Oryzias latipes: one gene and its partners. The protein of the gene in region 4 purifies or fractionates together with the protein of the main gene of each other region. This does not show direct contact. Links are inferred from orthologs where the notes say so. Each region holds a gene or a part of one and is shown on either strand. Other genes may lie near its edges.

Evidence for each region.
Region 1: the proteins of bag2 (region 4) and edrf1 purify together in Homo sapiens (affinity purification with mass spectrometry; 3 studies listed by BioGRID and IntAct, with this or other methods). This does not show direct contact. The link is inferred for Oryzias latipes from reciprocal best matches to the Homo sapiens genes BAG2 and EDRF1.
Region 2: the proteins of bag2 (region 4) and stub1 purify together in Homo sapiens (affinity purification with mass spectrometry; 7 studies listed by BioGRID and IntAct, with this or other methods). This does not show direct contact. The link is inferred for Oryzias latipes from reciprocal best matches to the Homo sapiens genes BAG2 and STUB1.
Region 3: the proteins of bag2 (region 4) and snw1 purify together in Homo sapiens (affinity purification with mass spectrometry; 3 studies listed by BioGRID and IntAct, with this or other methods). This does not show direct contact. The link is inferred for Oryzias latipes from reciprocal best matches to the Homo sapiens genes BAG2 and SNW1.

Annotation. Positions count from the first base shown.
Region 1 is NC_019873.2:19,100,863-19,105,071, reverse strand, and holds the start of edrf1 (erythroid differentiation-related factor 1), read right to left. Parts: upstream 2,806-4,209; 5' UTR 2,403-2,805; coding exon 2,304-2,402; intron 2,078-2,303; coding exon 1,881-2,077; intron 1,665-1,880; coding exon 1,598-1,664; intron 1,515-1,597; coding exon 1,389-1,514; intron 1,300-1,388; coding exon 1,175-1,299; intron 1,060-1,174; coding exon 915-1,059; intron 742-914; coding exon 640-741; intron 44-639; coding exon 1-43. UniProt on the Homo sapiens protein: Transcription factor involved in erythroid differentiation. Involved in transcriptional activation of the globin gene.
Region 2 is NC_019877.2:8,954,557-8,958,646, reverse strand, and holds the start of stub1 (E3 ubiquitin-protein ligase CHIP), read left to right. Parts: upstream 1-1,285; 5' UTR 1,286-1,556; intron 1,557-2,108; 5' UTR 2,109-2,225; coding exon 2,226-2,339; intron 2,340-2,432; coding exon 2,433-2,631; intron 2,632-4,090. UniProt on the Homo sapiens protein: E3 ubiquitin-protein ligase which targets misfolded chaperone substrates towards proteasomal degradation.
Region 3 is NC_019882.2:3,678,803-3,683,024, reverse strand, and holds the start of snw1 (SNW domain-containing protein 1), read left to right. Parts: upstream 1-1,417; 5' UTR 1,418-1,530; coding exon 1,531-1,544; intron 1,545-1,966; coding exon 1,967-2,120; intron 2,121-2,194; coding exon 2,195-2,356; intron 2,357-3,372; coding exon 3,373-3,468; intron 3,469-3,614; coding exon 3,615-3,721; intron 3,722-4,222. UniProt on the Homo sapiens protein: Involved in pre-mRNA splicing as component of the spliceosome. As a component of the minor spliceosome, involved in the splicing of U12-type introns in pre-mRNAs.
Region 4 is NC_019873.2:24,430,603-24,434,722, forward strand, and holds bag2 (BAG family molecular chaperone regulator 2), read left to right. Parts: upstream 1-1,315; 5' UTR 1,316-1,469; coding exon 1,470-1,591; intron 1,592-1,733; coding exon 1,734-1,843; intron 1,844-3,024; coding exon 3,025-3,419; 3' UTR 3,420-4,013; downstream 4,014-4,120. Other genes in the region: E3 SUMO-protein ligase ZNF451, read left to right, coding at 55-95. UniProt on the Homo sapiens protein: Co-chaperone for HSP70 and HSC70 chaperone proteins. Acts as a nucleotide-exchange factor (NEF) promoting the release of ADP from the HSP70 and HSC70 proteins thereby triggering client/substrate protein release.

The DNA of each region.
Region 1 (4,209 bases), about 5.3 Mb from region 4:
CAAAGGTCCACATGATGTTTCGCACAAAGTCATTCCTTAAACCCTGCAAAGAATGCAAGTCGTCAAAACTTGTACAGAAAGAATTTAACAGTAATCAATATCACAATCTTTGTTTAATTTTTCAACAATCTTCCCCCCATTTTTCCATAAAACACAGTCTTGTACTTTTTTCCAATCAATTCATTTGATAAAAATACGCGAACAATACATCAAATCCAGTATGAAAAGTGTTTAAACATAAGTATATCAGATAGTGCTGATCTTTATAAAATTCAAAGCTTAAATAAACAAAAAACCTCACAAATGTGTTTTCACCTCATATCCTTTGCAACCCTCAGTGGTGCTTCTTATATCTCTTCACTCTTAGGTGACGCTGTGTTGTTCTATTATTATACTCTTCATAGTATTTTATATGCACCTAGTCATAATGATAAGGAATACTGCCACCTTGTGGCCGGAGTAGTCATTTAATATCCTGAGTCGATCAAAGCTAAATGAATGCAAATAACGGTTAAATATTTCTTAAACTTTCCTTTTTATTTCGAAATTATAAACACATTGAATAATCTTTGAAAATAAAAACAATATCCAGCTCTTGTTTGTGGTGAAATTCCAGACATTTGAATAGAACTTTGTTACCTGGCTGTTCTCGCCTTCATTGAAGAGAGCAGGGAGGTTTTGCTCTTTTAATACTGATGTCACCTGGCCCAGAGCAAATTTACTGTCCGCAGAAACACCTTCCTGAGTATCAAAAGGCATCAGTGTGTTCATTATATTTTTGGGCATTATGTAATTGAACTGAAAACAAACTAAAAAAAAAAAAAAAAAAAATTCTTGCCCGCCACAAAAATTCTCACTGTCTGAAAACAGCTTTTTGACCCGACCATACTTATTGAGCTCACTAGTAAAGCTACCTGTTCAGGAATTTCTGATTCTTGAGCATCTGATGGGCTGGTAAAGGTTGCAGGCCACGAGGAGCTGCACTCTTCAGCATTTTTGTCATCATCCCCCTCATTCATGTTGTCTAACACAGGCTCTGCAGCCCCATCACCATTTATGCTGCAGAAACAAAGAAAAACATGTGATTTTTGGACAGATTATGTAACAAGAAACACGCCCTTAAGTAGAACATTGCACCAAATTATATCTAACACTATCCTAAACAAAAACTTACCTGTAGTAGAGAAACTTTGACAGGATGGCTTTCTGATACCAGTGCTCTTTACTCTTTTTCTTCCGCTGCCATTTCTGATCATTTAGACGCTGGTAAAAATCTTTAAGCCATGTCCAGTCTCCTGTCTAAACATTGCATTAAAAAAAAACACATTACTGTCAAAAATAAAATATAAATGGAAGAATGTAGAAAAGGGATCCACCCTCAAATCTACCTGAGAGGATCTTCTAAAAAGCTCCTGAATGTCCAGCTCGTCTACAAGCAACGTCCTTCCAACCCGGTGAACAGCCATGCTAACGTGGGACTTGCTGTAAGGAATCTTCAAGAGTTTCTTGATGTTCTGAGGATGATAGAGCCCATCATTAAAGTCTGCCATGTCTTCAAATGTCAGAGAGGTAAAAAAAAGGAAAACTCTCCACAAACCTCAGAGTCTGATACCACATCAACACCATTCCCAATACAATCAATGAAGTCATAGGCAATTCCAAAACTAAAATGAAAACAAAGAAATGTGATACATCAATATGTGTTTAAATTGGTTAATTGTTATTAAAAAGAAAAAAAAAGAAATAGATTTTCAGGTTCAAACAAATACATAAAACGTTTTAAAATGTAATTTGGACCTCCCAATGTACTCTAAATCCAAAAATCTTAAGGTCATATGTCATCATTCAGGGACTGGATCTTTAAGAAATAGATGAGGAACCTGGAAAAGGGCTTGCTTTTGCTGCTTGACCCTAAAACAGCGCTGCCAAGCTGGGGGTTTTCCCTCAGCCAGTTGGCAGGTGGCAGCTTCAGGTCCGTCTTCTCCTCAGGGAGGGCATAAGTGCTGGGGGGGGCAGCAGAGTACTTGACCACAGCACTACTCTTCACTTCTCCATTTCCCAAATACATAGTGGGATCCTGGTGAAGCAGGAGACAAAAACATTCATGTTCTAATTAAACAGGAGAGGCAGACATTTGAAGTACAAATCTTAGTTTATTTTTCCTATGACTATGTAATAAGGTCTAATAACTGCATAAATAAGCCTAATAGAAACAAGGATTGCTTGTTAGTGTATAAACAAGACATAAAAACACAACATATTAATATAAACAATTATATAGCTCATTCTTTTATGTTGCTTACCCGTTTGCTGCAATCCTCTGAGCAGGCAGGACTTCCAATGTCTTTATCATTATCCAGGAGGATCCCAGGATTTCTGTCATCGCCAGCTGTTGAGCTCATTTTTTTTTCTACAACACTTTATTATTCCCGCTTAAATTAGCGAAATAATTCGTCGAACAGCTACATTATTATATGTAATTGGTGTTAAGATAATGACGTATCGTTCTTCCGACTCGATGATCTGCCTCCTGACCTGTCGCACGAATCTGTAGTAACAGAAAGTCAGGGTTCTTTCTAGATAGTTCCAGAGCTTGCGAGGCTAAAATAAACCGCACTACTAGCAAAGGTAGAAAAACGATTCAGCTCAAATCACATCAACTAAAACACATGGTTAGTTTTATATCCTCCACATTAATAATAATTTATACTTTCAAACTTCTCCCACTATTTTCGCTCAACAGAACCCCAACTTACACTGTTTTGCCTCTCTTCTGTATCCAACTCGCTTCTTAGCAGTCAACAAACAACGACTTCCGGTTGGAGGAATGCCAAATGCAACATTGATTGTATTTTTACGTTTTGAAGTGGAACATGTTTTGAATTTTTTTTAAGTAAGTTCACAAAAATATTTTAGAACGTAAAATGATGCATTTAAAAATAAATTCTGTTAAAAATCTAAAATACAAAAATCTTGAACCGGAAGTATTTGCAGTCTATGTTGGTCGATTATCTTTTAATGATTATACCCCATGTAATTGTTGCGTGGTCATCATTATTATTTTTATTATTATTATTATTATTATTATTATTATTATTATTATTTTGGCATTTACACTGTTATGATAAATTACAAACATTTTAAAATAAATTTTGTATTCGTATAAAACATTTAAAAAACTTACAAATGCCTAAATATATGATTTTGTAATGTATTTTGGAATACTTTATTCCAAAATTACGGAAGCTCTGAGCTGCCACTGCGAAAAATATTTTTTGGAACAGCTTCTCGTAATAACGAGAAAGTATCTCGTTATAACGACATACTTTCTCGTAATAACGACATAGTTGTTTACAGTAAAACGTCATCTTCTCGCGGGACATTTCATTCTCGTCTTGATGACCTGTGGGAAAAGATGGAGAATCAGCGGGAGCCTCTTTATTCCTTTTTAAGGGATAGAAATGTGTCAGAGGACAGAATTTCCACCATGAGGAATGACAAAGTAAGTTATACTTATGAAAAACATAGTTTACGTGAGTTTCATATCGATTTAATTTATTTTTTTGTTACTGAATGAGCCTGCCGTGTACTGCGTAGACGTGAGACCAACTAAGACCTCGTTAACTTAAGTATTGTAGTAGCTGCAAGGAAGCTCCTTAGGCGGGCGGTTGTCAAACAGCTCTTTATTAATGTTTCTGTATCTCAGAACGGTTACAGCACGAACCAACAGGCACAGCGAGCTTCTTCTAACTCCAGCGACAACGTTCACCGAACGCACACGCACACACACCCACAGGTAGACCCCGCCCCCTCTCTCCCACCAGTCATCAGCCCACCGCTGATTGACACACACTGTGGTCTAGCATCTTGCAGAAAGAGGGGGGCGCCGGCCACCTGCAGCTCTGTCCAAACTCTGGGTCGTCACAGTATGTAATGTTTTAGAGTTGCAGGGTATAACTCTCTTCAGTATGAACGTGCTGTGTTAACGTCTTTTATTAACATAACTGGTAGCAATCGCTTTTAACAGAAGGCTTCGTGCTTCGTTCATATCCCATAATGCATTATTCTTATTGTCAATACATCTTTACCGTAACGGAGATGCATTCGAGTGCAGTAGGATAAACGTGTATCAAAATATTACAAAGTACACCTCGATTAATGCTGTTATCCTAAGCTAATCATAGCGTATACTTTTATCCTGCAGAAATG
Region 2 (4,090 bases), on a different chromosome or scaffold from region 4:
ACTACTTAATAACAGATTACATTAAAGATTTGACTCACATTTAAAAAAACGAGTAGCCCGATGATGCCATCTTCTGGCCAATACACTAGATTTCCTGTGCTGATCTTTTACAAGTGCAATGAGAAACCACCCAGTTGTCTTTTTCTGTATCTTGGTGTGTAAAATTGGTAGTTCAACTGCAAAAAATGCAAATATTTCTGATCATATTTTTTAAAATAACTCCTCTTTACACATTTCAGATTTGTATAAACGTCTCAAACAACCTCAGGTAAACCCATCTTTCCATTTCTTGCTCTCATATTTTTGCTTATTCAGATTTAAATGAGTGATTGTAAAGATGCATAAAAATAACAGGAAATATTTAGGTGTGGCTTCATTTCATTTTCAAACCATATTTGAGAAAAAAATACTTTTCTGAATGTTAAAAAATATATACGTTTTTTTTTTTCAATTACATTTTTATGCTTACAGCAGCATAAAAGCATAAAAAACGCAGTCTGCCCTGGACAGACTGGCGACCTGTCCAGGGCATCCCCTGCCTACGCCAAAGTAGCCGAGATAGGCTCCGGCAGCCCCGTGACCCCGAAAGGGACAAAGCGATACAGAAAAAAAATGAATTTTTATGCTTCTCTTAACATAAGCAAAGTCTCATGTTAAAATTTGGCATCAAGCTAATATAAAAAGTGAAAAATGAGTAAAGACATAAAAAGCACCAAATCAAATAGAACAGATTTATCATCTTCAATGCTTTTGGATTAGTGCAATAACAGAAGTTTAAGGAAGACAAAATAATAATAATAAATTATTTCCATTAATATCAATTATTTTACTAATAATTTCGAATCAGATATAAACAAACACTTTTATTTGATAGGGTGTTGTTATAGTATTTTGTCTAACGTAATGTAAGGTCAGTACCTATTTTCTATACAACTAACCATCACTCAGAGATAAGGTGTGGTTACTTGTATCAGTAGTCAGCTATGTTAGTTCTAACCACTAGCACTGATACCAGGGTCTTCTCACATATAGAAGGCCCCTGTTTCACGTTGTTTGCATGCTCTTCTCACAGCTCCAATGACCCTCTATGATTAATTTAGGATTAAAGATAAAGGGCTGGCATTCTATAAAGCCAAATTATGAGAGCAGTCCCAATACAGATGAGGGTTTGTTCCCACAGTACTTTTACAGAAATGAGCACAGAAACTTTACATTGTTATGATACTTGAAGATAACCTCTGCGCAAACTCCCATCAGGATTCGTGTGCTCTCGGCTTCCGTTGTTAGAGCGTAAAGCGTTTGACGTCAGCACCACAACATTCCGTCTTGACAGTTCGTACGGGTGGTAAAAATAATCCGTAACGATTTTATATCAAACTAAATTAAATCTGTTTGAGCTGAATGTAAAATTTCTGATTAAAGGTAAGGGTGGGTACTATGTAAAACTTTATTTAAGCCTCCAACAAACTGAAACGGACGTGAAGCAACTGTAATGCAAAAAGGCTAAGCTAGCACTAGCTAGTTTATGTTTTTTGAAGAAACCGAGCTGCGTTGTGGTAAATATTGAAATCCTTGAACAAGTAGTTATGGTTTTACTATCCTCTGCTTCAATTCACCAGAATCTACCCTAAATTAAATGTCAATAAAATTGATTAGAGACACAAAAGCTGTACTATGTCCCCAAACAAAATAATTTCAAGATAAAAGCTTAGCTAATTTTAGCATAGCATCGATTCTCCTCCTCTGTTTGTTTGTAAGTTAGCAATCTTATTTTTGTGTTTCTTGTCGTGTAACAATAATATACAATTTTTCGTTAACTTAAATATATTATCTTGTATCTGGTGTTTTTACTCGAAACCTGAGTGGATGTGTAAATTAATGGTTCTGGATTTTTTTTAAATAGCTGTGCTCGCTGATGGCCATCGATTTCCGAATGTGAATAGTTAATTCGCCGGCAGTCTAGCTGTGATTTTCAGCGGCGTGCACTGTCAGCAAACCCGAATGAATGCATTCTGAGCGGCACCAAGCAGCAGCGTTGCGCCGAGAGATCGTTGAAGAAGCAGCGCATTGCAGGTGCATCGCTAACTCAGCACGCGCCTGTGTTTTAGTGTGTGAGATCCAAGCCGGACGGGACGTTCTGAAAACCTGTTGTCTAGCCAGCCGAAGAGACGGGGAACAGGATAGGGAAACAGGGCGAAGCGGGCCCCGCGGAGCCGGTGGAGAAGATGGCCGGCAGCCCGGAGAAGAGTTCCACCGCGCAGGAGTTCAAGGAGCAGGGGAACCGGCTTTTCCTCTGCCGCAAGTACCAGGATGCTGCCTCTTGCTATAGTAAAGCTATTGTAAGCGTCTGGGATTTCTCATCCAAACACTAATGGCGAAGACTAAACAGTTTGCGCGTAAATACTCTTTATTTTCCCCATTGTGTCTTCCAGAACCGCAATCCATCAGTGGCAGTATACTACACCAACAGGGCCCTCTGCCACGTGAAGCTGCAGCAGTATGACAAGGCTCTGACAGATTGTAAGCATGCACTGGAGCTGGATAGTCAGTCTGTTAAAGCCCACTTCTTCCTGGGCCAGTGTCACCTGGAGCTGGAGAACTACGATGAGGCAATCGGCAATTTGCAAAAAGGTCAGAAACTAGTTTGATTTTTCTCTCCTAGCCGTTCGTGTCGGGTTTTCTTAATCATAACACCAGAACAAAGGATCACAACCTTTAGGTGTTGAAGATGGATCAGTTCACTTGTGCTTTTATTGTGGGATTCTAACAAAAAAGAATTTTCTGTGGGGATGAGAAAATCAAACTTGCACATGTTCTTAAAGGCACCAGCAGTTACAAATCAATGCATTTACCTTAAAACCAGAGCATTTCATCAACTTTAGGTACATTAAGAAGAAAATGACAAAATAAAAAGTATCAAAAACTGTAACGGATTATTTTTGCAAAGGTTTCCTGAACCTTCAAATGTATCAGACAAATGTAAGTCCATATGCAATCATGGTAGTTAATCTGTCCAAGCATATTAACAGAAAATAGAGTGGAAAGAAAAAAGACTTTCAACAGAGAAAATCCATGCAAAATTCTGATTTATTTCACCATCATCAGAGTTAGACGTTTTTTTTTGTTTTTTGTTTTTTACCTGGGCTCATTAGAAAAGAACCAGACAGATGCTTAGTGGTCCAAAAGTAAAGGTTGTATTTCATTTGGAGACGCACAGACCCGATGTTGCCTGAAGGGTCTTGTGAAGCTTCCACAGTCAGGGATGATGTAGGTCCATGTTTTTTTGAAGTCTACACAAAGTTCTGTAGCACTTCATGCTGCCTTTTGGTGTTGAGCTCATTGGAGCTGCAGATTCAATTTTCCTGCAGGACATGGGGCCCGCCCACTCTGCCAAAAGAACCAAAAGCTGGTTCAATTAATAGTATTACTGTGGCTGATAGCACATTCCCCTGACCTGAACCCTATTATGAATCTATTGTCTCTTGTTTGGAGGAAGATGAGACACCAGACTCAATAATGCAGATAATGTGAAGGCAGCACATAGAAACCTCCATTACTTCTACATAGAGCCACACGCTTCATATCCTCAGTGCATTGATGCAGTGATTCACATAGAGGAGCCCTAACCAAGCTAAGTGATAGAAATGAAGGCATTTGAACATTTAGGTTGTAAACATCTTTTTCTATTATTTTGATGATAAAAGCTAATATTCTGACACATTCTATTATTTAGATTAATTATCTTCAACGTTACAATAAATCAATGCTCGACATATTTCAATCAATTATATGCCGTTTACCATTTAATTTGTGTGTATAAATGTATGTTTGTGTGTGTGTGTGTGTGTGCGTGCGTGCTTGGGTTTTGATCATATTGTGATTTATTTGTCTTGCTGCAGTTTTGGGTTTGGATTCAGCACAGATAACTTTTGTAGTGATTAAGAGCAGAATTACATGTTTATTGTCTCACTACGCTGTTACACACGCCTGCAAACATACAATTCTTACATTGGTCTTGTTTGTCTCTGTGCCGTGTCAAGTGTTAAAAAATGGGCAGATGATCTCTGTCTAAAGTGAATCCTATTGTTTG
Region 3 (4,222 bases), on a different chromosome or scaffold from region 4:
AAAAGTGTAAATCAACCCCATTGTTTCCTGATCGCATTTGTTTATAATTTCAAGTTATACCAAAGAGAACAAAATCCTGATAAATATGGGATCCAAAATGAAGAGGAACAAACTTAATGAAATCAAGAGACAACATTCGCTGGTGGGAAATAAAAATAAGGCAAAGAATTTCATTGATTTTGAGGATTCGTGTCTCTGCACGACAGCAGTGCAAACTGCTAGATATCTTAGAAAAACCTTATTGACAGATCACAGGCTTTAATATACATTTAGGCTTTAAGATTGACAGAAAAAGGATTTAGACTCGCAACATCTGCATGAAAGCAGGATATGAAATCACTTATCCATGAGTGGACTTAATAAGGTGGCTACCTGTTTTCTATTAGATCCTAAGGGATTTCCTTCTGTTTCAGCAAAAGTTCTCTGGCAGTCTGAGTCTCTTCCTGAATATGAATGATACTTTTTATTAAATATGAAAACAATCCAAAGGAAATGGAGGAAGTTTCCATCCACCAAAAAAAAATCCTCTTTTGAAGTAACAAAATATGTATCTGAAGTATCCTTATGTAATTTATAAAAACATTTATGCATTTTTTTTATTCAAGCATATCATTCTTTTATTCTGTCATCCTTGTTTTTTTATAAAATTATTATTTTTCTATTGTTGTTTTTTGTGTAATTTAAATGTTGCTTTAACTTCTTAACTTTACCTTTGACTCCCGTGTTTCTTCATTGGGAACCTGGCCTGCTGAGTCCAGGGCAGGGATCTGCAACCTGAGGCTATGGAGCCACATGTCCATCCATTGTGGCTCTAAGGTTTAAAAAAAAAAAGGGAATGATTTGAAGAAATTATAAATGTGAAGTTTGGAACAAAATAATAATAAGAGTTGTAGTGTACTGTCTGAGTGTTTTTTGTTTTGTTTTTTTCAAATAAGCCTTAAAGCTCTTTTTCTGATCCTCTGCGCCACAACACTGTGTAGTTGCTGTTCAGAGACAAAGTTCTTATAGTTTATAAGTTATGATGCAGCCAGAAGATCTTATTTGGTACAGGGTGTAATTTATTTTTAAAGGAATTTGGATAAGCGGCCGTCAGAAGTAAAGCAAGTCCAAATTTGTATGCATAGAAAATATAAAGGCTGTGTTATTTCAATTATTTTAAATATTTAATAACTTTATTTTATAGATGAATAGATGATTGGCCAATACAACATATAGGGTTTTTTAATAATTAGAAAAAAATGTGGGAAGCACAAGTGTATGTATAAAGTTTCGTGTTTTTTTCATTGGGTGGGTGAAAGCCTGTTTTTTGTGTGCATTGGCTTTTATTATGTAATTAACTTAACAAGTTAACATAACAAATAAAATGTTGTAAAACGAGTATGTACTTTTATTTTATTTTGTTTTTATCGAACTGGACATGGTTTGATATGTATTAGAGCTTAGAATTGTCAAACCTGGCAACCTTCTTCTCTTTTTCGCTTACGGCCTGTTCTTGCGCATGCTCACTTCATAGTTCAGGAAGAAAGGAAAATGTCTCTGACGAGGTAAGTCTCTAAGTGAGGCCTTTTGGCGAATAAGGCACAAAATGCGATCGGAGTTTCTGTCTGTGTTTGTTATACATTTATTTGGTTTAATATTAAACGTTAAATATTTAGTTAAACTTTAAACGTTTCGCTCTTTTCTGTGTTTATGATGTTAGCTAATGCTAGCTAGTGCTAACTAGTGAGACGGGGTTAGCATTAGCTTGTACCCTCAAACGACCGTTTCTGAAGTTAGCTTGTTTGTTTAATCTATTACTTAAACACATGTATTTGATATCGTGTTAAATAAACCTCTTTACCTGCATTAACGTTTCAGGTTTGCAGTTTTTGTTCCTGCTACTTTGACGTCGTTTCACGCTGATCCGCGTTTACAGCGACTTGCTAAGTTGTCTTTAAACTGCATTATGTGGACCTGTTTTGCACAGCTATTTACCGGCACCGACCCAGCTGTCTCAGGACCAGCTGGAAGCAGAAGAGCGGATTCGGACCCAGAAATCCTATTCCACTGCGCTGGTTGCGTCCCGTAAAGAACCCCCTCCTTACGGACACAGAAAAGGCTGGGTTCCGCGTGCATTTGAGGTGCACTTCAATGGATTACACATTGGTTCACTGCCTAGTTTCGCATTTCTACAAAACATTCTGGGTGTTCCTAGGACTTCGGAGATGGCGGGGCTTTTCCAGAGATTCACGTGGCCCAGTTTCCTCTGGAGATGGGCAGGAAGAAGAAGACCTCTAACGCCCTGGCAGTTCAAGTGGACGCAGAAGGGAAAATCAAATATGATGCCATTGCCAGACAAGGACAGGCTAAGGATAAGGTACTTGAGCTTTTCCTCTTTCTGGCAGTCAGTGAGGAGCTTTAAAACCCTATTCTTGCTCTTAGTGTCCACAAATACATGAGAGGTTCTGACTTCTTGGTTCTATTCCTATCAGACACGGCTGTGTTTTATTTGTATTTTTTCACATAAAAAAGAACCAACAAGTCAGTTAATAATACAAGACACGATGAACTTTATCAAACTAACATGAGAGGTTCATTATATGACTTGACAGATTCTAAATTGACCTCTAAAAGTCCAGCTGAAGAACCGATGTTCTGGATGACAGAATCTCCACAGAAATGTGGGACCTAATCTTAACTTTGGTAATACAGCTTGGTTTGGTTGTCATTTAAAAAAAATGCACACTATAGTGTTTTGTTTTTTGTAAAAACCATGTTTGATCCTTACATTTCTATTGGTGTTCATACACGACACTCCAGACGCATGTGGGAGGAGCTACCGCCAAACGGTTTTAGCCTCATTGCTGCAGACAGGGATGATGTTGAGATATCACGTTTTTCTACTTTGAAGAGCTCTACAAAAATGTCGATAGGCACGTCTCCATGTCTTGATCAATGAGATCATCCAGAGACTCCCACATCTGCTCCTGAAAGGGAAACCCAGTTTGACGACTTTCTGTTCTGCATTCAGGACCTTTTTTTGTGTGTCTTGATCCACTTATAACATCTTCAACGCATCCCGGTCCGAAGAGGAGTCCCTGATTGGTTGACGCGGCGCATCTTGTTTGCCGAAGTTCATATTTTTGAACTCTTGACGCACCGCAACAGCCAAAAAAGCGCGCGGCTGCCAGACTGGTGTGCAGCTCCAAAATCAAATCTGATTGCTTCTTTACGTTAAGCTAACATTAAAACTGGACACTCCTAATGCGCAAATGGCATTTAGTGTAAACGCAGCTTTACACAATCTATCCTATTCTATGAGTCTGCATGTTTTGCCATATTGGTAAATTTTGAGTGAGATTATTTCTATAATTTTCTTCTTGATTTTTGTAGGTGATTTACAGCAAGTACACTGATCTGCTCCCAAAAGAAGTTCTTAATGAAGACGCTTCAGGCCTTCAGAAGCCGGATGAGGAGGCTGTAGAAGAGGTAATTTGCTGCTCGGGCTCGTGCAGACATTCAGGATTCATTCATCCGATTTGGTGAAATTGTCTTTCAGCGTGCCCTTACTTATTGTTTTTAATTACTGTAAGCATGTGTAGTTTCTCATGGTTGGGGATGGATGCTCTTTGCAGTTGACTGAGAAGACTCGGGCCGCTCTACAAAAGCAGGTGTCGCAAAAGATTGCTGCAGCCATGCCTGTCCGGGCCGCCGACAAACTCGCTCCTGCACAATATATCAGGTAGCAATTTACCTGAATCATAAACAGTACTTCTATTTTAGATCGAGGACTTCTTTGTTGTTCCATCAGATCCTCTTGGATTTTGCAATCACACCAGTTCACATGAATTCAACCAATTCTTGCGACGTTTTTGCCCAATTACTTTTGCCAGCTGCTCTTATTTTAAACACTTTCTCCACCAATCAAGCGTAGAGGCTGAAGCATAAACATCTCTTGTCTAATCGAACATGCTTACTTCTGGAACTATATCAAACAACAAAAGGAAGTATTGAACAGTCGGTCTATCACAACATTTTGCAAATATTGAAGCTGGAAGTTTCCTTCAACGTTGCGTTGAAGCACCAGCGAGTCGATGATTGACGAGAACCTTTCCACCTGACGTTTGCAGAAAACGACTGAAAGTTGTGTAGAGAGTATATGGAGATGTTGATTTACCCTTCATGGGGTTAAATAAAATCCCCTTCAATAAACAACTTTTCAAATATTTCTCCTCCTACAGCT
Region 4 (4,120 bases):
ATAATGGAGTGTCATTTTCAACTTTTTTTTTTTTCTTGTTTTTCTTTCCCGCAGAGTTGGAGGAAGCTCTTCAGAGAAGTCTTGTGGAGTTCTAAGTGCTTTCTAAATGAAGTAGTTCCTGTTGTTCACCTGTCACGTTGACCTTTTTTACTCAAGGTCATTGTTTTCAGAAGTTATAAATAAAAGTCATGAATTATTTGAATTGATTTACTTCCTTTAGCAGCCAAAGTCAGCAGTTCTTGGGGCAGACAGTGGGTTTTAAAGCTAGTTAGAAGCTGAGGGTTTATAAAAAGTCAGACGTTCTAAACATTGAAGCTATGTGTCACGTGTTCACACACACACACACACACACACACACAGGATTGTGGTGACACAGCTAGATGCCTGGGCTGACCTCGTGACCGCAGACCAACCGCTCCTCCACCTCTCTGGTTTCACTACAGACGTGAGGATTCTCTTTACCGGCTGCTCAGACGTCAGAAATGAATGAGCAGAAATTGTATTTTTTCTACAGAAAAGTTTGTATGAAACATCATTACATGAGTTCAACTTAAAGAAAAAGGTTTTTTGTGTAAAAGTGTGAGTGAATAACAGGGACAGAACGGTTTTCCTAAAAAGTACTCTCTGTGAAAATATTTTTCTTTAATAAAGATATAATAACGGAGCATGACGTTTGGTCATTGAATGTTACATTTGATTATTTTGTTCGGAGAACAGAAAAAAAAAACAGTTTGGAGACCTGTTGGTTGGTAAAATAGATGGAATCTATCTTTGTGGCTTGAAGCAATAGAGATAATGGTAACAAGCACCTGTCACCTCATCAGCGCCCCCTAAAGGTGGTTTTGTTACATTGTGTCTTTGCTTTTTTCTTTTAACTAAAATGATGAAAAAGTGCCACTTGTACAAATTGATGAGAGTTGCAAATGTCATGTTTAACAAACCTGTATGAACTCTGCAAAAATATTATTCAAATCATGCAGAAAACAGTTATTGGACAATACTATTATTTTATATTTACTTGATGTATTCGTCTTTTAGTTTATTTTTATTTTCTAATCAATTTATGACAATTGTTTTTTTGCCTCCTAATTATATAAAAGTTCCAGAAAAAATAAGCTTTCTCTCCCCCTGTTCCCTTTTATCTCCCAGATATAAAATCTTGTGTAAAATAAAATCTGTTGTTTTATGGAAATTCAAATAAAGCATTTTAAAGCTAAAGCGCTCCTCACTCAGAGCCCCCTGTTGGAGCCCCCTGTCTGGGTTGGAGCCTCCTCTCTGGGTTCCTCGGGAAGTTTCTGTGAGGAGGAGGAAGAGGAGGAAGCTGAAGCCCATGTTAGGAAATGTTGTCCCAGGGGCGCTGCTGCCTGTAGCCTGAGGAATTACTGGTCAGGCGGAGAGCTTAAAGCGCCGCTCACTCTTTGGATTGACTGATCGGACTACAGAAACTCGGCACTGCAGCACTAATTATTATGGCTCAGGCGAAAATCCAGGCGAAGATGAACGAAGCGGTCTGCAGCAAGTTCAGCAGGACACTGTCCATGGCTGATCGCTCCGGAAGACTGCTGGAAACTCTGGATCAGCTGGAAATCAGGTACAATAACGGGCCTCGCCATGCGCGTCTTCTTTGGAGGTGCTCTCGTTCGTTTGACACTGTGGCGTAACTTTAACAACTGAACGTGATTGGAAGGAAAAAGAAAAGCTGTTTTTTTTTGACGGATGTTTGTTTTTGTCAGGGTGGAGGCTTTAAGAGAAACAGCATCCGCCCTGGAGCAGGAAAGAGAAGGCATCCTGGAAATGATTCAATCCATCCAGAACAGTCAAGAAATGCGTAACATCTGTGCGGGTGAGGCTGCTAATTCTCTCCCACAACTTACATAAGAGCACAAGTCATCCGCTGCTTAATACCAGTGAAGAGTGGCTTAACTTTCCAGTAATCTTAATTCCTGTTTTTTGCTACTTTGATCCTGTGGTGATAAAAGGAAAACTTTGCGTGATGGTCAAGAAACTGAAAAGAACAATGTGCTCCACCCAAAATGCATCACATGTCTCACCCATAGAGGTCCCATTTCACCTCTGTGTCTTTCTATTAAACCCTCTAAAAGGAACACACTATACTTCTGAGTCCAACATAGCAAGTTTACTACAAGATATAAACTTTTTTTCATGGTATAAGTAGAAAGAAAAATTCTGTTCTTTTCATGGTACCATATTATATTTACATATTCAACATAAGTCCACACATTTTCATGAATAGAAAGGAACAAAAAAAATGAAATTCTTGTTATATTTCTGCCCCTATATCAAATCTTAAAGACCCACTCAGGAAAATTGTGTTTTTGGTGTTTTTAACATGTTGTTGTGGTGTTTTTCTCAAAATGCAGGACATATAGAAAGAAAATTCAGCTCATATTTCCATTTCGGTGTATTTCTTTATTCAAATTGCAAAAGCAAAAATGCCATTTGAAAAAGCTTGTAGGTTTGACGTAGAAGCTAATACAGCAGACCACAAACGTCCTGCTCTTCTCTGCTCCATTCTGATGCATCCACTTGCGGACAAATAGATCCATGTAGGTCTTTTGTTTTCCTCATCCGAGTTGGCTTCCGGCTCAAAGCTGGACGGATGGATATCTCCATTCTTGCAGGCCATTTGAGTTGCATCAGTAATGTTACGTTGGGGTTATAAAGGGCTGTAAATTTGCAGGAGAGCGTTTAAACACATAGATGTCCGGAAGCAAGGGTGGGCTTACTCCACGCCTACGGCCCCACCTACAACTTAGAGGCAGATTTCTAATGAATTCCTGCCGCTCTGCAGAAATTATGTCCTAGAAAATGACACAGGATTTTTTTATTTGGGCTAAAAATGGTATAACTATAATTACAAAACCACTCGGAACACTTTGGAAATAGATCAAAAGACGATTTATTAACATAAAATACATCAAAATAAATGAAATGAGTCAAAAACAGGTTAATAATAATATTTTTTATGACAAATTAAAGCTCTAATTTCCTTTTCTTCTGCAGGAGAAAGGGAAGAGTTGAGCTTAACTGCGAACCGTCTGATGGGCCGGACTCTGACGGTGGAGATCTCCGTTGGCACCATTAGAAACCCCCAGCAGGAGGAGGCCCTGCGGAAAGCCACATCCATGATTGACGAAATCGTAAAAAAGTTGCTGGTCGACATGGAAGGCGGTCGGCAGCAGCTGATGGCGCTGCACGCCGCCTGCGTGACCGAAGCACCGCCTGTCCCCATCGATCAGAAGTTCCAGGTTGTGGTGATCAGCTGCTCTTTGGAGGACCAGAAGAAGATCAAACAGAGGCTGGAGACGCTGGTGAGGAATGTGGAAAACGCTGAAAAGAACATCAAAATTATGGATCATCAAAAACTGGAGAGTGCAAAAACCAACTGCAGTAGTTAATAATCATCACCAAAGCATGAAGGGTGTTTTTGAATTCCACTTTACCTCACAAAGGAGAGCTGCACAAGCATGACTCTTAGGGATCCATGCATTGTAACCAACCCTGAAAAGTACACTGGTACACATTTTTTTTGTAAAAAGGTCAATTTTTACTTTAAATTTTACTACACCGACATAGCTAAAGGGCACACAGTTCACAATGTATGTTCATCAATAAGCCCAAGAAAGAACAAATACAGATGCATCACAGATTGAAGTTCAACCTTTTGAAGACAATATATAATTTTGAGCACATTTTGCAGCAATTCAGTGCTCTGACATATGAGGTGATTGACAATGCAACAACCAGTATTTTACCAATACTGTGATCGTTAACGTTGAAAATAAAATTACAAACATGTCAAATGAAACCACCTGACAGGAAGTTCGTGGAATTTATCTCAGTTGTAGAAAGACTTTTTATTTGTCTTACAGTTTTAGTTGAAAGGATTTTTGACACAAACTCTGTACGCCTTCATCTTCTGCTGTTTTTTTTTTTGTTACATTTTTATGAAACACAAAGAAAGAAAGTCAATAAAAACTGTGAGAAGCCTCTGAATATGCAGTTTCTTGTTTTCACAAATGGGGAATCCTCCTTTATTTTGTCATTTGGTTTGATAAGAACCTAAAAGCACATGTACAGTTCATAAAATTGCACAAGT